Linked DNA regions of Tamandua tetradactyla. The protein of the gene in region 2 purifies or fractionates together with the protein of the main gene of each other region. This does not show direct contact. Links are inferred from orthologs where the notes say so. Each region holds a gene or a part of one and is shown on either strand. Other genes may lie near its edges.

The links. The genes of interacting proteins can lie anywhere in the genome.
Region 1: the proteins of BIRC2 (region 2) and IKBKG purify together in Homo sapiens (affinity purification with western blotting; 6 studies listed by BioGRID and IntAct, with this or other methods). This does not show direct contact. The link is inferred for Tamandua tetradactyla from reciprocal best matches to the Homo sapiens genes BIRC2 and IKBKG.

Annotation. Positions count from the first base shown.
Region 1 is NC_135353.1:6,923,723-6,931,298, reverse strand, and holds the start of IKBKG (NF-kappa-B essential modulator), read right to left. Parts: upstream 3,058-7,576; 5' UTR 2,944-3,057; intron 1-2,943. Other genes in the region: G6PD (glucose-6-phosphate 1-dehydrogenase), read left to right, coding at 7,331-7,368, 7,496-7,576. UniProt on the Homo sapiens protein: Regulatory subunit of the IKK core complex which phosphorylates inhibitors of NF-kappa-B thus leading to the dissociation of the inhibitor/NF-kappa-B complex and ultimately the degradation of the inhibitor.
Region 2 is NC_135334.1:40,475,009-40,482,821, forward strand, and holds the start of BIRC2 (baculoviral IAP repeat-containing protein 2), read right to left. Parts: upstream 2,895-7,813; 5' UTR 2,866-2,894; exon of another isoform or gene 2,613-2,865; intron 1,662-2,612; 5' UTR 444-1,661; coding exon 1-443. Other genes in the region: uncharacterized protein LOC143644315, read left to right, coding at 2,895-3,245. UniProt on the Homo sapiens protein: Multi-functional protein which regulates not only caspases and apoptosis, but also modulates inflammatory signaling and immunity, mitogenic kinase signaling, and cell proliferation, as well as cell invasion and metastasis.

The sequences.
Region 1 (7,576 bases), on a different chromosome or scaffold from region 2:
ACAGAGGAGCCCTGCCTGGCCTGACCGTGTTGCTTGGGGAACTGCCATTTTTGCTTTGATAGGAAAGGCCACAAAAAATAAAGGCACAGGCAGAGGCATAGCACTCTGAAAGTAGGTGGAAGGCAGGGGGTACAGTCCTCGTTAAGCCGTGCTCCCCTGTCCCTAGCTACTTGCCCTGAGAGCAGATGGAAACAAGGTGTGCTGACCAGTGAGGCAAGCCCTAGGGCCTGAGAGCTGCTGCCAGGGTTTCTGCTTGAATTCAGAGTACCCTTCCCTTTTCACTTGTACCCCTAGGTGTGACAAGAACCTGTTCACTGTCAACCAATTGCCTTGACCGTTCATTTATTAAGATTTCGACCCAAACCGGCGAGCAGGTGCAGGAGGCCATTTCTCTGCAACTCCGTCACGGGCTTCCTTCCCCCTCGGCGCTGGGGGAACTTGGTGGCTCTTTGCACAGAACAACTTGCCACTGCCCTCCGCAGAGCCTGTTCCCTGCCACTTGTGTGTTTCTGATCAGGAATCAGGAGTCAAAAGGGAGGAGGCAGGCAAGCCAAAAACCAGGGCAAGAGGCAGTGGGAGGGAGAAGGGCTCCACCGATGGGAAGTGAAAGGCAAGGGAGGGCCGCCCCAGGTGCTCTCCTCTGACTCCCTGTCACCCCAGGAGCTTGGGCGGGGTTGGGGCTCTGGCTTCTTAAAGGAGCCACACCTCCTTAACACTGGGGCTTGCAAACATTAGCCCCTTAGTCAAAGAGACAGGTTCAGGGAGAAAGTAACTTGGCATTCTTTCTCCTCATCCCCTGCCCCCATACTGGCTTGGTGACACGGATGCCCCAGTAGAGCTCCCAGGTTCCAGACACCAGCTGAGGGCCCCTCGAGAGCGTCCTGGGGCTTGTCCAGGCCCTCAACCCTGTGACGTCTCAGTGAGAGCACTCAAACCTGCCACATGGCCTGGGGCCAGCAGTGTTCCCTGCTCGAACCGCAGCATCTCCGGGGAGTCGAGGAAGGCTTTTGAAATAAGCACCAAGGGTCCCCGGACCCCACCGAGCTAGTTTTGTGACTCCCACGACCAGCCTGGCATTGCACAACTCTGACTCGAGCCATCAGTCAGGTTCCCTTTGTTCTCCCCAGCCCTGGGAAGGGTACGGGGTCCTCCTAGGAGCCTATGCTCTTTCTCTCTCAGAACAGGATGGGCGGGACTCTCCCTTAAAGCATCGGTGCTCAGGCAGCACCTAGAACAGCTCCCACCCCTGGGCGTTCTCCACTCCTCCCTCTGCAGTGGTGCTGGGAGCCGGTTCTCCTGCAACCCACAACCCTAGGCAAGCAGCACTTCTCTGCTCATTCATCCCGCCAGTGGCCTCCCACTGAGTGCATCTTCTGTACCCAGCATTGTGTGCCCTGAGGACAGGCAAGGGCACAGGCTAAACCTCAAGTCAAGAACAAGCTGCAAGGGATGGCTGGTGGCTGCCAGGCACCCTGGGGGCCGGCGACATGGCCAAGAGCTTCCCCTTCCACCTCCCTTGCCCCCACTTACCCAACGCTTACCCAGCTTCCTTCCTAGAAACTGCCTGACTTCGGCTCATGAGTTACAAAATGGGCTTCGAGCCACTTGCTGTTCCCCCTTCGAGTGGCCACTTCCCCCCTTCTCAGGACTGCCTTCCCCATCCCCACCCCAATCCAATGTGAGAGTAGAGAGGCTAAATGTCCCAGTGGCAGGGATTCTGGTCTAGAAAGCTCTAGAATAGAAGAAGCTTATTTCTCCTTATGGACCCACATGGGGGAAAGAACCCTGGACCTTGAAGGCTATGTCTTCCCCCAACTAGTAACATTAATCAAGGCTGAAGAGCACCTCCTTTCCCATTAGAGGGGACCTCCTCAAATTGAGGGGGGTGGGGCACGGAGTAATAGGAGAGGGGGAGAATAGGATGGGCAAGTTCAACTCCTCCACAAGCTCCTCACGTCTCTGGGCCTCAGTTTCCCCACTTGGATCCCAAGGGCTCAGGACTGAATGGGTGCCCATGACCCAGCCCACTCTGGCCCCGGGAGAGATGGCCCTGGCAACCCCAGCCCCACCCTTTCCTCGGAACATTTCTGGGCCAGTCCCCCCCACACACACACATTGGGCCGATAAAATTCTTGCTGTGTCACGATGATGTTGGCACGCCCCCAAAGGCCTGTGATTCACGAGCCCCAGGGTGGCACTTTCCTTGCCAGCCCCCAGGTTCTCACTCCCTGGTGATCAGGAGCCAGCTGGGCCTGAGCCAAGGCCCCACCCCACAGTGCTGGGCTCTTTCCTGACCTGCATGACCCAAAGAGGGAAGGGGTCATGGGTCTCAGCAGGCAGCCGCTCTCTGGGGCTCTTAGCTGCCACACTCTGGGCCCTGAACCCCTAATACTAGAGAGATATCTGCAGTGGTTTGGGTCAACTATCTTAGGTTCTTCCACAGGAAGCTGAGGCCAAGTCTCAGGCAGAGTCTTGAACAGTGACCAAAGGGGGCCAAGGTCCCTTTGCCCCAGTCTGGCCAGATAACATGTGGCCTGACATCCTAATCACTTCTAGTCCTCCCATGAACTTACCACATGGCCTTGGGCATATCCTGCCCCCGCCCCATGGTCCTTAGGCAAAATGAGAGGATTGGGAAAGATGGGGAGCTCCCGCCCTCCTCTCACCATGGACCCTTCAATTAACCCCAACCCCCACATGTGGCTGCGGTTAGAAAGATTTTATCAACCAAGCCGTGAGATTTCCTAACATCTTCCCGTGTCTGACCCTCCAAAAGGATCCCGAGAGAGTCAGCGCAGGACAGCGCGGAGGGCCTGACACCCCCAAGCCTGGGCTGGGGAGAGCAGCTTGGCCCCTGTATCCCCTGGCCAGGAGGGGGGTATGGGTCTGCCTGGGCCACCCCCCACTGCCGTCGCCGCCACCACCAGCACCTCCTCATCCTACCTCTCCTCTGTTGGGTGACTGCAGACAAGCAGGGTGTGGGTTGGAGGGGCTGAAGCCGAAACAAGGCAAGCAGGTTCTATCACTAGTTAATCCCAAAGGGAACAGCAAGAACAAACAGCTCGGGGTGTGGGGCGGGCTATGACTCAGCAGGCAATAGCCCAGGCTCTTCTGATTTCTCCCAACCTATTGGAATTTAATCATAAGCAAACAAGACTCACAGTGAGTAAGGCTTAGAAATGATTGTAGACCATGGTTCACAGTGCTGGTTCCCAGTGGGCTGGTCCTTTCTGAACTGGGGGTGGGGGGACAACCCTAAGCCCCCGTGATAGGAGTAGATGCCCCCCAGCAGCAGACACTGCCAGTGCGTCCTGAGGAGCACCCCAGCGGGTGCTGGGGGACACAGAGAGGATGGCGGTGCAAGGACAGCCCCTGATGTGCTGGGTGGAGGTGCCCCCAGAGGTGCAAGTCCAAGGGCCACCCAGCAGGCCCAAAGCAGGCCACCTACTTTGGCCACAGTGGACCACCATGAGGGCAGGCAATGGGCAAGAAGGTCTGACGGGGGCATCCTAACCCATCTCGTGCCTGAAGACAGGGTAGAAAGAGTGAGTAGTTGGCAGGTGTGGCGGAGGCACAGTGTGGAAACTTCCCCACCAGGAGAACCCCCCAAGCACCTTTCCACCAATCTCGGGCAGGGCAGGGTAGGCGGGATTTTAACAGGGTTGGAATTCTTTTGATTTCGGTCCTACATCTTGCAACCGTCCCAGAGACGTAGACTCATCAAACCATGACCCAGCCAGGTCATTATTTTAATTTGGGGGTCTAGGGTGACTTTTAACTTTTTAAAAGCCTCTGGTGGGGGTGCAGGAGAAATGAGTTGGCACTTAGCCTCTCCACAGGCAATGCTGGGCTGAGGCGGGGAGTGTCATTACACCTGCCTTCTAGAACATTCCTTTGAGCTCAGAGAGGATCAGATAGCTCAGGCCAGATACATCTCCCAAATCGCCTCAAAGCCTGGAAAAGAAAAGTTGTTTCCACAATAGCCTGTTAGATAGGGTGTTTGGTTCATTTAAAATCAGATAGGTCTTTGCAGGGAAGCTTCAAAGCTTAATTTTGCTTTTCATAGTCAGGACCTTAATCCCAGGAGTCTGTTCTTTGGTCTGGTAAGAGTCAAGATGCAAGTTCTGGTAATCATTGTCAGTTCCCCTGCACTGCTTAGAATATTCTCTCCCCAGTGACTAGAAGCACTCCAAAGGAGCGTGGGTTTCTCACCCCCACGCAATCCCCACGCTCTCTTAATTACAGCTTTGGCAGATGAAAGAACATGCTCCCTCTACTTAGTTCTCCTCTGGGAAGAACCTTGCTAAACTCTCTTTAATTCTGTGAATTAATCAGCGGGTTGCCGGGAGTTTCTGTTTTTTCACTTGGGTAGACTTTCACCCACAAATCAAGGCCAGTTTGGCTTCTCCTTTCCAATCCCTATACCTTTTCCATTTTTTTGCCTTACTGCACGGGCTAGGACCACAAGTTCATCATTGACAAGAAGAGCCAATAGTGGGCATTCTTTTCTAGTTCCCAGTTTCTTAAAAGAAAATATTTCAACATTTCCACGTTATGTATGACATCCATAGGTTGTTGTTTTTTGTTTTTTGTTTTTTTAACCGGTTAAGGAAATTTCCTTTTTTTTCCTAATTTAAAAGAGCTTTTATCATGACTGGATATTTAATTGTCTGGAGCACTTTTTCTACATCTGTTGAGTTTAGCAACGTTGCTAGTTTAAAAAAACATCAACCTATAGAGCAGGCAAAGATTTTTTCTAGTGTTTTCTTTTCTCCTTTAATCTGTCAGTGGGGTGGTTTTCAAAGATTGATTTTTGTTTTCTTAATACCAAGCCAACGTATTTCCAAGATAACTTCCATTATTTCCAGGATAAACCCACCTTGGATTCTGATGTATTATATTTTTTAGCATTGCAGGATTGGGTCTGCTGATGTTTTCTTTGGCATTTTTGCATTTGCATCTGAGCATGTGAACGATGCTTTCAGTATCCAAGTTCTGCTGGCCACATAAAAAGATTGGGAGCCTTCTTTAGTTTCCTGGGGCTGAAGGTACAAAGTGGCACCAGCTTGCAGGGCTGGGGGGAGGGGATTCTTCAAACAACAGAAATAGATTCTCTCTCAATTCTGGAGGCTGCGAGTCTGAAATCCAGGTGTCAGCAGGGTGGTGCTTCCTCTAAAGGCTCTCTTGGTGGCACCCCAGTTCCACCGCTGTCTTCTCAGAGCTGTCTTCTCCCTCATGTCTTATCTGTCTCTTTGTCCATATTTTCCTCTTATTATAAGGACACCAGTCAGATTGGCTCCAGGCCAATCTGGCAGTCCAGTTTGCCCACATCTTCAAAGACCCAATTTCCAAATGAGGTCACGTTGGCAGGACCAGGCTTAGGACTTGAATTTGTATTTGGTGAGTGGGCACAGGCCCAACCCAGAGCAGTCTGCTCTCTGAGCCTCCCTCCCCTCAAAAGTCACATCCCTCCTGGGTGCCAAATACATGCACCCCATCCTGGCCTCCCATCAATGCTCAGTCCAAAAGTTTACCTTCTCAATTGTGTAAAGCGCTGACCTAAAATCGCCACCCTGTCCACAAACCTGTAAGACTTAAGAAAACAAGTTTCCAAAAATACAAGTGGTGGGTCAGGCAGATGATAGACATTCCCATTCAGAGACAGGGGAGCTGGAAGGAGGAGGAGGGGTCAGCAGCCGAAAGCAAGTTCACAGCCCCATAGGGCAAATTCGCTTCCATTACAAGGCCTGAGAGTCCTTGATGGCTCCGTGCTTTGCCCTCTGAGCCTGCTGTGGTCGCAGCCCACCCCCTCGGCCTCGGTGGCCCGGGAGTCACCCTTTCTTTATTTTGTCCCGTCTCTGTCCCTTTCACTCCAAGCTGGCTGTGTTTCTGCCAGTAGAAAATTCTCAAAAACTTTGTCGACCTTCCATGGAAGACCCACCTTTAGAAATGAGGGCTCTCTGCCCAGTTCCTTCCTGGATAACCCCACCTCAATCCCTGACTTGTGCCGAGGCCGTCGATAGGGTTGATAAGTCACCCCTCGATTGCTGCGTTAGATGGCCATGCAGCCGCCCCCTCAGTCCTGTCGCCACGGGACACTACCCAGCTGAGCTGAGATTTTCCAAATCTCCTTTCTGTTGGACGGTTCGGTCCCCGATTCATTTCTTTCATTTTCCCAGAAGCAGCCAGAAGTAAACCAGAGGTGCCGTCCCGGCTTTGCTTGGATAGCTCCTCAGCTAAACCATCGAAGTTCATGGCTTCCCGCTTCTACTCCCAACCCAACCCTATGACCCCATACAGTCAGGTTCTCTGCCACTTGAATGTCACGCCAGTCACTTCCTTCTAGAGCCTCACCAGAAGCATCTTAAATGCGCCTATCACTGCCAATACTCTCTGCATGGCGCTCTCATGTGTCATAGCCCTGAAGGCCAGAGGTCCAAAATCACAAGGCCCTGTTTCCAAACAATTCACGGGTCCAGGCATTAGAGCTCAAACATAGCTTTATGTGGTGTTGGTTTTTTGGGGGACGGGTGATGGCACAGTTCAACCTGCAACAGAGACTGCTCCCCTTCCTGTTTGCAGGAAGAGTCTGTTGCACACTGGTATTCTCTCTTCCTTGCTTTTTTTGGGCAGAGCCCATAGGTGAAACACACCCGGGCCCCGCCTCCTTCTCGGGGTCCATTTTGGTAGGTCAGAATTTTCTAGAAACTTATCCCTTTCAGTGGGGTTGCTGGGCGTGGCATAAGGCTGTTCATAAGCTCCTCTTCTGGGTTGCGTGTCAGTGGTTCTCTCCCCTTCTCCTTCCTGATCCTATTTACGTGTACCTTTTAAAAAGCCTTCTTGCTGCAGGGCTCGCTCTTCTGAGTCTTCCGTTTCAAGCACCACCTTTTGGTTCGGCCGATCTGATTTGGTGGTTTGTTTTCCATTTTCTTAATATTTTTTTCACCTTATCCCCTTCCTGGTCATCCGTGCATCTTTACAATTTAAACTTCGAAGGCCATGCCTCACGTATTTTGCTACCTGGTAGGTTTCTTGGCGCTCGTTTAGGGTCGCTCTTCTTTGTCTCAGCAGTTGATTGGGAGCATGGGGTCGCCTTTTGTTTGCTGGTGGCCCTTTGGTTTTGTCCGAGACAGCAGTGGGCTCGGGCGCAGGGGGGCACGCAGCCCCAGGGGCCAGCTCCATCCCTAACCTCGGGGCCCCTCTGGCTACAGATGGGGACGAGATAGATCCGCTTAGAGCTCCATGACGTCCAGGGCCGGGGTCAGAGGCGAGGGGGGACCCCTTTCCCGTCTCCAGCTGCCCTTAACCACGCTTGTTCCCTTTGACTCAGGGTGACCTGGCGAAGAAGAAGATCTACCCTACCATTTGGTGAGTGCGCCCCCCACCACCCCCTCTGCCCACCCCCAAGGCCTCCTCCCCCACCCCCAGCAGGCGGTTTGGGGTGGGGGGCACGCCCAGCCCGGTCCGCTCAGCCCTCCCCATGCTCCACTGGCAGGTGGCTCTTCCGCGATGGCCTTTTGCCCGAAGACACCTTCATCGTGGGCTTTGCCCGCTCAGCCCTCACGGTGGCCGACCT
Region 2 (7,813 bases):
CCACTATGTTCCAAAGTAGGAGATAATGAATGTGCAAAACTGTTTCTCACTGGAGAAGTATTCTTAAAGTTGGATTCCAGACTAGTAACTGAAACTAGATTCTGAATAAAGCTACAGCTAGGATACAGCTGTTTATGCTTTTCAATAGCACTGTCTCCTTGTTTCCAGTTATCCAGCATCAGGCCACAACAGAAGCATTTGACCTTGTCATTCACACCAGTGTAATAAAAACCAGCACGAGCAAGGCTCCTTTCTGAAATAGGAACACCGGTGGGGAAAGTTGAATATGTAGACATTCGGTAGAGTTCACATGAAAAGTCGTATTTCATTTTTTGTTTGTTGTCATTTGTCCAATTTGTCAAGATTGTGCTATCTTCCATTTTACTCACAAATTTTTGATGAGAGGGACCTGGGTCAAGTCTTTGGGAGGTAGTTTTGTGCATGAGTAGGTGCTTTTACTTTTTGATGGCTAAAAGCCTTCACATGAATTTTTCTCTTCAGACTAGATTTTTATCACAAAAAGGAAACAAATTATAGCTTACTTATCTAGAATTCACTAAACCTTCTTTACTGAATTTACACCTGATTACACACTCAAAATGACTATCTCTCCTAGGTTGTACCAAGATGCAACCTTAATATTTTGAGGGATTATGTTAACTTTTTTAGGTCACCCAAGTGCTATTTACCTATAATTTAGTGTAATACTAACTTAATAGCCTGACAGAATTGATGTACCTCTGAAAATATGTTAAAACCCCCCTGATTTTTAAAAGAGGCTTATGTTACCAAATTCCAAGCCACTTAAACTGTGCCTTTAATTTACTTTTGGTTACAAGCTACAATGCCTGGATATCAGGCCAATTACTGATTATGCTAAAAGACAGGGGAAAATGATATGCATCAGGCTTCTTTTCCTATAAGCACTTAAGTAAGGTACTAAAAAAAAACCTTGTTCTATTCTAGTAAACAAAAATAATTGAAGTCTTCATATAGCCATATTATCTAAAGACTAATTTCACAAAGCTTATATTCACAGCATAACCCATAATACGTAAGTGGGTTTTGTAAGCTTCAGTTAATAACTTTTAGGGAAGCCAACACTCACAAGCTTTGTTGAACCTAAGCTTATAATGGTGTATCATATCAAATGAAATAAATTTTGCGTAGAGCTCACAAACTGTTAATTATTCCATATTTCTATACTTGATTCCTCTTCCTATAGCATCATTATTATTTCTTACTAACTTTGCATACCACTTTATTATACTTTACCAACTAAAATTATCTGAAGGTATATCGCCAAAAAAAATTAACCATAAAATTTCAACAGCAGAAACTTCTCACATTTCCTGTCTTTGTAAAAACTAAATTATCTATCTTTCCTTTAAGAATCATGCATCTCTATCATTCATTTTGTAAATAACCAATCAATTCATCAAAAGTCACAGTTTGTCTTTTCCGGTATCATGACAAATGCTAACAGAAATATTGTATTACCAACAGACTAGCCTTTCTGTTTTTAAACATAATTCATACACAAAATTATACTCCACAAAACTCAAACTATATCCCTTTTTATAGTGTCTGAGTTTCCATAATGGGATTTATTATTGCCGGGGGCGGGGTTGAGGGAAGTAGATTCTTCAAGGTTGTAAAATCTGAAAAGAAAATACAAAAGCTATTTTAGAAAATTTTAGTTTTATTGAAAAGAGAATCACAGAATTTATACTTTAGACAATACATCTTGAATCCAGCTATTTGTCACCAAAATGTTGTAACTGGAAAAGCTCATAAGTTAAATAAATGCAATATCCTCTCATTAGCACTTACATCTTTGAAAAATGTACAACTTTGACGCAGACGGACATTTCCACAAAGGGAAGTCTCCTCACCTTTTCTGGTAAAAACTTTTTAGTAGTTTAAGGATATCTCTGACAGTTTGTTGGTGAAAAAAACAGATAATGTTGAAAAAAGACTTTACTATACCCATCAGCAAGAACACAGAAGTTATTAGACAGTTATGTTATTTTTTAATGTCAAGTCTCTCCAGGACTAGGCAAATTGCCTAGTCTAGTAAGAGTAAAATGCATCAGGAGCTCATTATATAAAACTTAAACTCTACAACTCCTATAATTACAAAGCCACAACCACAGAAAACAAAACAGCACAATGGCCTGTGAAACAATGGCCTCGGGAATTGTGACCACTAACATGAATGCTTTTATTACACTAGATCTGATCGCATATTAAATTATAGATTTCTATCGACGAGCACTGTATTGATGATTTTACCATTTTATGCAAACTATAGACAGTCAGGAGTGGGGGTTGTGTGGGGTGCAGACCAGAAGGGAAAAACAGAGAAACTATGGGATTTAGTCATTAATTTTCCGGGGTTATTTTTCACAATAAACAATTGTCTACAGAAGGGCAGAGAGCAACTGTTAACTCTGAAATGTGAGATCTCGCCACCACAGGGCCGTCTTCGTTTAAATATTTTAAATTTAAGGAATACCGAAAGCTAAGTTTAAAACCTTGCAAAACCTCTGAGAGAAAACAACTTGGCCAAACACCAAGGGCTGAAAAAATGGGCGGTGGCCAGAGTCTGCGTGAAAACAACTCAATTTTTTTAAACCACTTTCGATTGCATGCCTTGAAGCTAGGGCTTCCGAATTAAATGAAAACCGTGTCAAAGGCAGAAAGCAGAGCTCACTGCGACCCGCAACCCTCAGCTAAGAGCCCCCAGGCCTCGGCCTTCCTCGCACCTCCGCACTTCAGAGAAGTGGCTCCCTGCTAGCCGGAATGCCCCAAGCCGCCTCCCGCGAACCCGCGCCGCCAGGGCCGTCAAAGAGTTGCACTCACCGTGATGCCGGCGCAACTAGACGGAAGCGATGCTGCGGCGGCGCCAAGGCTGCTTAGAGGCCTCCTCAGGCTCTGGCAGCTGCAGCGCAGATAGCAGCCAGGCCAAGCCAGACCAGGCAGGGCTCGCGTCCTGCGCTCCTAAAACCGCCCCCCACCCCCCGGGCCCTGGAGGGCTTACGCCAACGCACGGTGACGTCAGCGCGCCCGGCTCGCGTCAACCGCCTCCCGACCGCGGAGGGGTCTGCTGCAAAAAGCCTGACGCCGAAGAGCAGGCGGCGCTGGAAGTTTTCAGACTAGCCGAGCTTCAGGGAGAGACGCAGAGAGACAGCGAAGCCGGCGTGGTAGTCCACCTGGAGCTGCGCGCTCAGCCCACGGCGTGAGGTGGGACTATCCACATTAATTAGGTGTTTTGCTTTTTCATCTCGTGGCTTGGCCACTTTTAACGCTTCCCTCTCCCTGTCCCTAACAACCTTCTGAGGAGGACGAGGCACTTTTTCGTGTTCCGTTGCGTTTGAGTCTCGGGAAACCCTGCGCCAACGCCATTGCGCCGGTGATTTTGTGCCTCTTCTTCCATGTCACCTCAGGAGTTATGATCCAGCCAGTGGCGAAATTGCCTTAGTCTGACGCCTCCACTCGTAGATGACTGTATTTGGAAATGGAGTCTAGTGTCTTTTTTTTCGTCCGGTAACCGTGTAAATTGAAACCAGCCAAGTGTTGGAAAATTGAACTGCATCAAAAGGTTAATTTTGAACACTTGATGTGTTTATAATCGACGAGTGTAACTTTTGTTTTTAAAACTTTGGCTTTCTGTTCTGGAGACATATGCGTTAAAGAGAAAGTGCCCTTCAGATGCCCATCGCTAGCAGCGAACAGTATTTTAGACCAATCTTAACTCCCAAATTTCTCTCAATGTTTGAATAAAATGGTATTTATGCATACACATATATGTACATGTGTATATGTGTGTACGTGTGTGTATGGTGTATGCGAACCGGTGCGGAACCCCTTTATAAAATGTGTAAATAGTTAAGTGATAGACGAAATGCAAAATCTTGGTCTTACTAGGCATGGACATTTTTTCACTTGCTCCCTAATAATTCCAGGAACACAGTGGCAGACAGTAAATATTTGTCATATTGCAATGACCCAATTTTTAAAAAATTTATAATCTCAAGACGTTTGTCAATTAATTCAGATGCTTTCTTCTTTCAGGGGAACTCCAAGGACAAGTATTTCAAAAACTTACAACTAAGTCTCTTAATTATGTAAGCAGGGGAATTCCAAGACCCTGAACCATTTCCCATTTCCTGCACATGTCATTTCTGCCTGCCATTCATAGAACATGTCTCTGTCCCAATGTTAACAATAAAAAGAAAGAATTTGTAACCATTCATGGATGTGGAAAAAAGAAATGCTATGACTCTCAGTGACCAAATGTTTTCAAAATGCGCATGGTTTTTGCTAATATTTGGGTATTTGCTCTAAGTCATTATTTCTGGGATGTTCAGAAACATTCCTCTTATCTGTGGGGAAATATGTAATCTAGAAAGTATACATAGCAAGAATTTTTCATTGTGAATTCAAGTCTATTTCTCTTTTTTTAGTTCTTGTCCTGACCAAAAAAAGTAAAATATGAATATTCTCAGTTTAGGGGAAATTTTTTTTTTTTTTTTTTTTTTAAGGAAAGACAGAGAGAAGGAAGGAAGGATAGAAGGAAGGAAGGAAGGAAGAAAGGGAAACATTTTTAAACATTTTCTTGTTTTATTGTATTCTGTTTCTCCGTTTTTGTTACATGGGCTGGGGCCGGGAATCGAACCGAGGTCCTCCGGCATAGCAGGCAAGCACTTTGCCCGCTGAGCCACCGCAGCCCGCCCAGTTTAGGGGAAATTTTAAATCTCAAAGCTCAAAAGCCATAAATATTTTTCCTTAAAAAAAAGTATGTAATATCATTCAGGTGTAATAAATACAACTTTTAATCTTGTATGACATTGTGATCTAGTATTACTAGCTGTTTATCCATTTATCAGTTAATTTTTTTCGTATTTCCAGTGTACAATAGCTAGTGATTTTTAAAAATAGGCTGTATAAATCTGCTGCTTTTGCATTCATAATATTTATTGCATTTACGTAGAGAAACTTATGTATAGGATCCAAGACAATTTTGAAGAAGAATGAAGTTGAAGAAACTTGCCCTACCAGATACCAAGTTATATAATAAAGCATAATAATTAAGACCATCTTAGATTAGCACAAAAATGGACAAATAGACAAAGGTACAGGTCAGAGAGCTAGAAAAATGTGCACATTTATGTGGGAATTGGATAGATGACAATAGTGTTCATATTAGTGAGAAAAGGATCAACAAGTCACTAAATAATGTTGAATTGAATGATTACTCTAATGGAATATAATATTAAATCATGACCTTACACTATTAAAAAAAATTCCTGGTGAACAGCTATCTCATGAACTCAGAGATGTAAATGTATTTGGTGAGTTGTAATTCATTGCAGCTATCATCATTATTTTCAAATTGTTTTATCTTATGCTAGTAGGAGCTTATTCATTTTTTTTTTTTTTTTGGAGTTCATGGGCCAGAAGTTATACTGGCTTTTAAGTCCTTTCCATACAGCAGTAGTAGTCTTTGCTCTCCATGCTCATCTTGTACATTTTATCCCATCCCATGATAAGCTTTCCAAGGTGCCCTGGTTCCTTTAATGGGAAATGGTATTTAAGGACCATAATTTCACATTGTGTTTATCCATTCATCTGCTTCTGGACATTCAGGTTGCTCCCATCTTTTGGCTATTGTGAATAACACTGCTGTGAACATTGGTGTACAAATATCTCTCCAATATATAGATTCCCTACTTTTAGTTCTTTTGGGTATAGACACCTAGAAGTGGAATTGTCATATCATATGGTGGTTTTATGTTTAACTTTCTTAAGAAGCATGAGTAAACAGTACATAGTAATGTTTGTCTGATGCATATGTTAATATTTAGAGAAATAAGACAAAACTGAGGAAAAGTGATGAAAAGCATTAAGTTGATAGGCTGCATTTGAATTCAGCAGACCCAGGCCTAAAAACTCAATAGTAACAAGAGACTGATTCGTTCAACATTTGTTTTTTTTTTTTAGACATTCATATATCTTTCAGTAGCATGTTACAACTTACTCTCCTGAATGAATGGACATTCAGATTGTTCTAATATTTTGTCATAATGCTGCAATAATCATTCTTGTGTTTCCTTTTGCACATATGGAAGAGTTTCTCTCAATACCTAAATGTGGAATTGCCATGTCTAATGGCGTGCATCTCTTCAAGTCTTCTAGATCTTAACAAATTACTCTCTGGAGTGGTTACTCTCCTATCAGTAGTGCCACTATTCTTCATCCTTGTCACTTTTAGTATTGTGACTTAATTTTTGCCAATGTGATATTTGAAATGTTTGTATTTTGTTTCCATTTGCATGTTTCTGATACCTAGTGAGATTGAACATTCTTAAATAAGTTTATTAGTCATTTAGTTTTGTTCTGCAAATTGCTTTTCACCACCTTTGCCCATTTCATTTTCTTTTTTTTTTTTTGTCATATTCATTTGTAGAAGTTCTTTAGAAAAATTCTCTATCCAAATCTTTTGTTGGTTATATATATTGTAAATATCTTCTTCAAGTCTGTGGCTTGTCTTTTCATGTTAATTATTTCCTTCAGTGAACTGTATATTTTATTCTTTTAAAGTTTTTATTTCCAAATAATTTCTAAGTTGCAAGGTAGTTGAAAAAATAACACAAAACCCATACAGAAACTCCAACATACCTACCACCTATATACCCAGATCCACTAGTTTTAACATTTTTCTGTCTATCACTCTGTGTCTTTATCTATCTATCTACCTACTTGATCTATGTTTATCTTTCTATCTATGTCTATTAGTTTTCTAAACATTTGAAGGTAGGTTGTACGTAATACTTCCATGCACATTTCCTAAGAACAAAGATGTTGGCCTATATAACCACCTTAAATATAGTTATCAAGTTCAAGCTTTTGGTCTGTGTGTTAGGGTTCTCTAGAGACAACCAACAGGAGAAATCTGTAAATATGAGATTTATGAAGGTGTCTCACACAACCATGGGAATGGAAGAGTCCAAAATCTGTAGGGTGGGCTGTGACGCTGGCTGCTCCAATGAAGGTCTGGACAAAGCCCACAGAAGGGGCTTGCTGGCTGAACAAGCAGTGAAAGAGTCCCTCCTCTTCCTTAAAACCTCCCAACTGATTGCATTATCTCCTTATGGGAAACTTGCCTTAGTTGGTCATAGATGTAATCACCACAGATATAGTCAACTGACTGATGATTTAATATACTAGCCTTCTGGTTTATCAACCAGCCATGAAATATCCTTTTAGCTATGGTCAGGCCAGTGTTTGTCTGACCGGACAACTGTATACCATCACTTAGCCAAGTTGACACCAGAACCTAATCATCACATTCCTCCCCTTGTCAACTTGGCAGCTAACACATCACTTTGAAACAAGGTTAATTTCCAAATGAACACAAGAACAGACATATGTTTCATCTAACAATATTCAACTGTCCTGCGAACAACCGAAAGTGCACTACATCTCCCCAAAATAGGGTACAAGTCATTAGGTAACATTCACTCTAAACTTCATATCCTGTGACTTAAATACTATAAGATGAACAATACAACTTCTGTCATATGATAAGAGGAAAACAAGATATTTATGTACAAATACAAACATATTCATAATAAAACAAGGAAATATTCATACAATCACAGTCCTCATTTCTTTAGCTAGTCACATGGTCATAGTTCATATTTATCACTACCTTCTGCGCATTCCTTGTTCCTTTACCCTCAGCAAGCACTTCAGCTGGCTATGTTCTTTGCTAGGTGAGGTGACCCAGACTTGTATTCCTGAAGTT